Linked DNA regions of Coturnix japonica. The protein of the gene in region 1 purifies or fractionates together with the protein of each later gene. This does not show direct contact. Links are inferred from orthologs where the notes say so. Each region holds a gene or a part of one and is shown in the gene's direction. Other genes may lie near its edges.

What was found. The genes of interacting proteins can lie anywhere in the genome.
Region 2: the proteins of RAD51AP1 (region 1) and WDR48 purify together in Homo sapiens (affinity purification with mass spectrometry; 5 studies listed by BioGRID and IntAct, counting the BioPlex papers as one, with this or other methods). This does not show direct contact. The link is inferred for Coturnix japonica from reciprocal best matches to the Homo sapiens genes RAD51AP1 and WDR48.

Annotation. Positions count from the first base shown.
Region 1 is NC_029516.1:67,090,567-67,094,860, reverse strand, and holds the start of RAD51AP1 (RAD51-associated protein 1), read left to right. Parts: upstream 1-1,453; 5' UTR 1,454-1,483; coding exon 1,484-1,560; intron 1,561-3,393; coding exon 3,394-3,443; intron 3,444-4,294. UniProt on the Homo sapiens protein: Structure-specific DNA-binding protein involved in DNA repair by promoting RAD51-mediated homologous recombination.
Region 2 is NC_029517.1:4,660,174-4,663,824, reverse strand, and holds part of WDR48 (WD repeat-containing protein 48), read left to right. Parts: intron 1-1,651; coding exon 1,652-1,760; intron 1,761-2,143; coding exon 2,144-2,231; intron 2,232-2,797; coding exon 2,798-2,874; intron 2,875-3,146; coding exon 3,147-3,339; intron 3,340-3,651. UniProt on the Homo sapiens protein: Regulator of deubiquitinating complexes, which acts as a strong activator of USP1, USP12 and USP46. Enhances the USP1-mediated deubiquitination of FANCD2; USP1 being almost inactive by itself.

The DNA of each region.
Region 1 (4,294 bases):
GGCTTCCAAACACACAGGTAGAAGCTGAAGAATGAATACCAGTCTCCAGAACGCTGAGTCACTCCAAATTGGGATCGAGCGCATCAGGGTACTTACTTTCATGAAGTACGGTATAAACATTGTGACTAAAAGGTAGAACCAAGACAAAAGGAAAAGACATGAAAAGCTGTCTTTAACTGAGAAACTGCAATTGCAGACAACTGTGTCTCAAAAAGTGAAACAGTCTGGAGTGCATTAGGATTTTACTGCCTCTTCCACTGGTGGTAGAGTTGTGGAGGGGGGGAAGAGAAGACAGCAGTAACTTCCAGAAGAAGCTTACGTAGTCATTTTGAAACGGGCCTAAGGATACACTGATAGACAGTAAACAAAATTAAAATTAAATAAATAAATAAATTAATTAAAAAGCAGGGAAAAAAAACAACAAAACAAAAACAAGAGAGCTGTCTACAAGACAAAAATGAAAAAAACTCCGAATACTGCATCCAATTCAGGGCCTCCCAGCACTGTAAAGACATACACCTGTTAGAGCAAATCCAGAAGAAGGGCACAAGGATGATCAGTGAGCTGAAGCATCTCTCCTATGAAGACAGGCTGAGAGCTGTTTATTTTCTTGCCTGGAGAACAGAAGGCTCCAGGAAGACCTTGTAGCATCCCCGCAGTGACTAAAGGGAGCAGACAAGGAAGCTGGGTGGGTACTCTTTATCAGGAGCGATAATCACAGAATCACAGAATGACCCAGGTTGGAAGGGACCTCAAGGATCATGTAGTTCCAACCCCCCTGCCTGGCAGGGCCACCAAACATATACCTTTACTAGATCAGGTTGCCCAGGGCCCCGTCCAACCTGGCCTTGAACACCTCCAAGGACGGGGCATCCACAACCTCCCTGGGCAGCCTGTTCCAGGGCCTAACCACTCTCCTAGTGAAGAACTTCCCCCTAACATCCAACCTAAATCTTCCCTCTTTTAACTTGGATCCATTTCCCCTAGTCCTGCTATTGTCAGCCCTTTCAAAGAGTTTACTCCCCTCCCGGGTTTAGGTTCCCTTCAGGTATTGAAAGGCTGCAATGAGGTCACCCCGCAACCTTCTCTTCTCCAGGCTGAAAGATAAGACAAAAGGTAACAGTTTTTGTCCTCAGGCTCAAAGTTACCAAGCTCAGAGGAGAGGCCGCAGTAGTTCTGATTACTGAAAACGCATAGAACAGTTGGTGACAGAAGGGAAGAGCAGAAGGGTCTGCAGTAACGCGTTCCCCGGGCGAACAAAGCCCCCTGCCCAGCTGCGAGCCAGCACCCCACCACAAAGCAAGGCGGTGCGGGCATCCAGCTCCGCCATGTCTCACCTGTGCTCTGGATGCGGTAATTCAATGTGTCCGCCCGGGAAGGGCCGACGCCGGGACCTCCTCCCTTCCTTTCAGTAGTTTCACATTCGCAGACGCAGATTCGACGCCGTAGAACCGGCTGCCTTCGCCCCTCCTCTTTGCGGCGAATGTGCCGTTCTGCGAGCAGCGTCAACGGCGGGTGGCTGTCGCCGGCTGCCGCGGCGATGGCCGGGATGGCGAGGAGGTGGGTGACGGGTCTGGGGTCGGGTCTGGCCGAGCCGCGCGGAGGGACAAGGGGCACAAGTGCGTGTTGTGCGGACCGTGTGTGCCCCGGTGGCGCAGTGGTTAAGGACGCCACTTAGCAACACTGGAGACTGGGGTTCGAATCCTCCCTGTGGCGCAAGTGGTCGAAGTGCTGCCCTGCTACACAGAGGCTCGAATCCCGGGGGTTGGACTCGATGATCTCTAAGGTCCCTTCCAACCAGCCCAAGACTGTGATACTGTGTGTATATACTGTGATGGCTGCCGTGCCTCCTTCAGGCGGGTTGGGATGTGAGCCGAACGGCGCCGAGCTGGTTTTTCTTCGAAAGCCTGTGGCGCGCGCGCGCTGCATTTGCCCGTCGCTTGTGTGACGTGCAGCCTCATCTCCTCGGTCTGAAAGTGACCGTGGAATGGAATCGATCTCCAAGGAGTTGTGTGTGTGCTGCCATAAGGGAAACAACAACATGGGATGAAACTACAGCATAGGAAGTTCAGCACGAATGTGCAGAAGAACTTCTTTACAGTGAGGGTGACGGAGCACTGGAACAGGCTGCCCAGGGAGGTGGTGGAGTCTCCTTCTCTGGAGATATTCAAGACCTGGACACCTACCGGTGCAACATGGTATAGAGAACCTGCTTTGGCAGGGGGTTGGACTCGATGATCTCTAGAGGTCCCTTCCAACCCCTACAATTCTGTGATTCTGTGCAAAAACCCTTACTTAGGAGCTATTCAGGAATGAAGATGAATGGATTGAGAGCAGCGCTGCAGAGGATTGGGATTGTTTGTTCATGAAAAACCCAACATGTCCCAACATGTGCCAACAGTGTGCAATTCCAGCCCAGGAGGGATAGCTGTACCCTGGGCTGTATTAAATGAGGGATGGCCAACAGGGCAGGGCCCTCAGCTCCGCATTCACGAGGGCCCATCTGGAAAACTGCGTTGATGCTTGGGGCTCTCAACAGGGGAAGGATGAAGAGCTGTTGAAATAGGTCTGGATGAGGGCCATGAAGATATCAGGGCTGGAGCACTTAGGAGTAAGGCAGTTTCAGGGGGTTTAGCTTGTTCAGCCTGGGGACAAGAAGACTCTGGGAAGACCCTATAGTAGCCTAATAGCACCTAAAGAGAGCTGTAAGGGTGGATAATATGAAAGATGGTAAATATTCAAAAGGTAAAGGGAAACACACCAATATCAATGCCTTAGCTGGAAAAAGCTGAGGCAATCTCCACCAGGGAGTGATCTCCAAGAGATGCTGCCTCAGTGGGGGTCAGCCCTTAAATGAGGTCTAGAGGAGGTGGAGTCGAGCTCCATCCCTTCCAGGAGCACAGCTAAATTACTCTCACCTGTGCTCCTGCAGCTGACCTAACACTTGCCTCAGCTGATTAATCAGAGGTTCAGGCTGTGATTACCAATTTCCCATACAAGAGCGTACAACAGAACTGAATAGGACTCTCAGGAAGACAAGAGGAAACTGTTTCAAATTTCATGAGGGTAGGTTTGGTTGAGTATTAGGGAGGAATTCTTCACCATGAGGGTGGTGAGGCACTGAAACAGGCTGCCCAGAGAAGCCAAAGTAGGCCTAATGGGCAGCCTGATCTGATGGAGGTGTCCCTATGCTCAGAAGTGGGGGTTGGAACTGTCCCTTCCTAACCAAGCTATTCTGTTCTTAGTAACCATATTGTATGCAATAGTAATAGTTACACATGTATTTGGACATACGCTGCTTTTCTCCTTAAATACATGATACAAACCAAATCAAGAATTAGCTAGTAGGGATTCTCAATACGAAGGGCCTAATACTGTGTTCTTTTGCCACAGGAACAGGAAAATTGTTAATTATTCAGAATTTGGGGACTTTGAAGATGGTGGTAAGTGGTGTATTTCTGTACATAACTGAAATGCCAAGCGCTAATGCTACAACCTAAAGTATCAGCAGAGTGTTCTTCTTTTTCATGCATTAGTTAAGTGACAAGGCTATTACTGTTTTCAGTGGATATAAACTGAACATGTTGAAAATCCTAATTCAGCAAGAATATGATTTCTGTAAGCCAAAGCATAACAACAGTTTGCCAGGGATCTGTTGAATGCACTGTGTCTTTTGATTGCAGGAAAATCTGTTTCTCTGCCTACCTCAGTTTTCAGAGAGTTACTTGTTCTGTGCCCTCCTGATGATCATTTCACAAGACTTCATATCAGAATGTAAAGGGAGTTATGTAGTTGGCTGTGCACAGGTCTAACATTTCTCATCCAGCTCTGTAACTTAAAGGATTTTGGATAAGAATTTAGCAATCAAATTTTGAGTTGAATTGGTAAGAAAAATAGATTGTAGGCTCTTAGTTTTCGTGACAATCCTCCTTTACCTCTAAGCCCTAATGGGTATTGTATCATTTCCCTTCATGAATTTGGTTTATTTTTCTATCTTCCTGTGCTATTTGTCAGTTTTTGGTATCCACTGAACAGTTTGAAGTGATAGGAAGGGGAAAGAAAAGTTAAGTGATATTGAAGATCCCTTGTAAGTCATGTGAGTTAATGCAGAGTTTCACAAGTTTAAATACAGTTCGTAACTTTTTTTTTTTAAGTGACCACTTGTCATACTACAAAAAAAAGGAAGCTTGTTTTCCTCTGTCCCTTAGATTTTTATCTCAGAAGTATCATGTATCTGTTCTATGGCATTTAGAAAACACATCGTATTTTTCCTTATTTTGCACTGTGAACTGCA
Region 2 (3,651 bases), on another chromosome or scaffold:
TGTTTGAATGTTTTCTTTCTTTGAGATATGCTCTTACATTTTTATTGTTCTGTTTCTTTAACAGTTACAGCTTGATTTGCTGTCTTACAGTTCTCCATGCATCATGGCTTTTAATGTAATTTACTGCCTTTGAAATTGTTTTGTGTCAAAAGGTGCTGAACAGCTTTTTTTCTTCCTAACATGCCAGCAAAAAAAAAAAATACAAAGAATTCTAATCTGAAGAAGGAAATAAAAAGTGAATAGGTAGTTCTTAAGTTAGAGAAGCATGATGCCGTGGTAGAAAACCATTAGTGGCAGAAGTAAGGCTCAGTTTGGAAAAAGAAAAGAAATGGTCTAGGTAATGATAATAAAGAGCAGTAATTCAGTTATTTGATATTAGGTATTATTCTTGGTGTAATTCCAGCATACATTCTGATGTTGTGAATGATATCAAATAAATATTTGGAAAAAAATATATTGAATATTGACATAATAGTAAGTCTGTGCAAAGCTATCTTAGAATGATCTTTAAATTAAAGCAGAATGAGAGGGACTGTGAAACTCTTTTAAGTTTTTGAAAGAGTTTGAAATGCATTCAGCCCAGGTCAGAGTTGACTAAAATGTCTTGTCTATGAATGGCAATTAAGAAATTACTTTCTACAGATATTGCTGCACTGAACAATTTCCTTAATTGGACTCTTGTCATCCTGGGACAAAGATGATGCCAAGGGTTAACAATCTCATTTAAAAGTGAACTCCAAGCAGCATTACAGCACTTAGCAGACTTCTCTGGATAAAGTTGCTGATTATCATACTTCTGTGTATTGACAGCCCTCAATTGTGGAGTCAGACAGCATAGAAGTGTAATTCTCAGGCTTTTGTAGCCTTGGTGTGTATTTATGCTCCACTGTGTATTTCTGTGAGTTGTCATGGATTAGTGAAATGTTCAGAACATTCACTACAGAATCAGAGGCTCCACTTTTCCTTCTCAAAAGTAACCATTCAAAGAGATGAGAGCTTTCTTGTATTGTTACTATCAGTTGTTAACAGAACTGCCATGAGGAAATCTTTCAAACTATATGACATCTCTCCTTCTCTACCTTAGCAATTATATTCATTCCTTCTCTAATATATAATAGTTTTTCTTTCTTGGGCTTTTTGCTTAATGTGATTTTATTTATGAAAGATGTGAATCTAAATACTTACAACTTGTGTTACAAGGTACTGGAATAACAAAAAGTCTTCAAAAATTGCATAATTAATGCTGATTTTTTTATTTTTATTTTTTAATTTATAATTTTGAATGGATGTAGAGTCATTTTTTCAAGTGTTTGAAGACCTAACACTGTCCAAAATTAAATGAATATAGAATGCAGTCACTTAAAGTGTGAATTTGAGCTCTACTAGTACTCTACCTTGACTTTGTTCAAAACCGTGTAGAAAAACAAAGCCGGTATCTTTCAGAGTTCTGAAAATCTCTTTACTTTCTACTGTTCCTTCTGATAAACTTGCTGTGTGTTGGAAATTGGGTTTTTCTTTCTTTTACAAAGCTTCTGATTTTGTTTCATTTATGAAATTGCTAACTGTAGATGGAGAAGATATTTTTTTGTTCCACATACATCCAGTTTTAAGGCCTAATATAATCTTAATGGTGTATTTCTTTTTTCCCCAGCAGTGAATGGTGAGCAGGAGAACAGAGTCCAGAAAGGAAATGGATATTTTCAAGTACCACCACATACACCAGTTATATTTGGTGAGGCTGGAGGACGCACTTTGTTCAGGTACAGAAACTCAGAAGTATATACAAAGTGGCCAAACACTTCCTGGTTTACCAACAGTAAGTTGCAGTCAGTGCTTACAACATAAAACACATGCAGTCCACATGCAAACTAGTGTCATGGTTTGTGCTGCAGCCTGTAGTCTCCCTATTTCTGCCTTAGGGATCCTTTTTGCATGCAGTTACACTTCTTGGCCTTGGTAGGAATTACCTGACCACCTCCTCAGTAAGCTTAATCCTGTGAAAGGCCAGCTAACCAATTTCAAGCTCTACACACATTGAAAGGATGCATCGTCGTTTCCTGAGCGTCTTTTAGCATATATTGTTATGATTGATTTCTGAACACTGAACGTTTCCATTCATAAAGCTGTCTTCTCTGTGTCGTAGGTTATTGTGTCGGGATTCAGGTGGTGAAACGGAGTCTATGCTTCTGAACGAGACTGTGCCACAATGGGTGATTGATATCACTGTGGATGTAAGTTTCCCACGTGTAGACTTCAGGTTTTGTTTGTTGAAGGTCAATCATAAAATCTTTTAACTGAGCTCAATCCAAATGACATGTTCAATTTTTCTGTCTTTCGTATACTGTATTTTAAAATAAGTGGTCTCAAGGACTGTACTCAAGACCCTTGAATAAGCGTTGTCTTTTGAAGTGCCCAGTTAAAGTTTTTTGTGCCTTGAAGGCTTAGAAAAGGAGCTCAAATCACTGTGCGTAATGGACGTCCTTTTCAAGTAGAGAGCTCAGGTACAGAGAGTGACCTTTACGTTGCTGCTGTGTTTTCATATTATTGATTTCCTTTGAAGTGAGCAGTACGTGAGCAGTAATTACATTCAAAAGGAAGATGTGGTGTGTTATATACTGAAACTGGAGCACATTAGGAGTGTGAGTAATCTGGAGGCTGTCTGTGGTAGCTGCTTATTAGCAACATCTTGGTTATTGATAATTAAGAACTGACTATACTTTGCTTACCAGCTGGTGGAAATGGGAGCTGATAATAGTTCATTCTAAATGTAACATTTTTCAAATGTATTTCCTTCTAGAAAAACATGCCCAAATTCAATAAGATTCCCTTCTACCTCCAACCTCATTCATCTTCAGGGGCAAAAACTCTAAAAAAGTAAGTAATAGTGTGTGTTTGAGTCTCAACATTGCATAAAGGGAATTGGATATATCCAATATCCTACTGGTTTTCTGAGATCCTCTGTGCCAGTCTTTGGATGGGTAGCTGTTGTGTCGTGGTGTTTTGTTTGTATGATCTTGTTTAGCTTTCTATATTATGATAGGTGCAAAATTTAATTGTTTGCATAGTTTGCTGTAGATAGAGTATCATGAAAAGAAGAAATAGTTCCCTCAAGTTCTCTCTTGCCAATCGTTATTTACCTTATGTAGAGACCGGCTGTCAGCAAGTGATATGCTTCAGGTGAGGAAAGTGATGGAGCATGTGTATGAGAAAATCATAAACTTGGATAACGAGTCTCAAACGACTAGCTCTTCCAATAATGAAAAAGCAGGAGAACAAGAAAAAGAGGAGGACATTGCTGTGCTCGCAGAGGAGAAAATTGAACTTCTTTGCCAGGACCAGGTAAGTCACTCAGGAATTTTAGCTCATGAATAAAACCAACTTGTAGCACAGAAGTTGTTGTGAATTTCTGAGTACTGAGATGGAAATATGCACAGATTATCTGCTGCATTTTAAAAGTAATAAATATCATTGTGTTAACTGACACAAGTTCAGTCAGCAGTGAATGGCTGGGCTAGGGATTTCATGAAGTATGCCTGTTTCATTCAGTTTTGACCACCAGCCTTTATGGAATCATGCAGTAGTTTCACACCTATGGGCAGCTGAGCTCTCCCACATTGCTCTTACTCAGCTTCCTAAGGGAAGAAGAGGAAA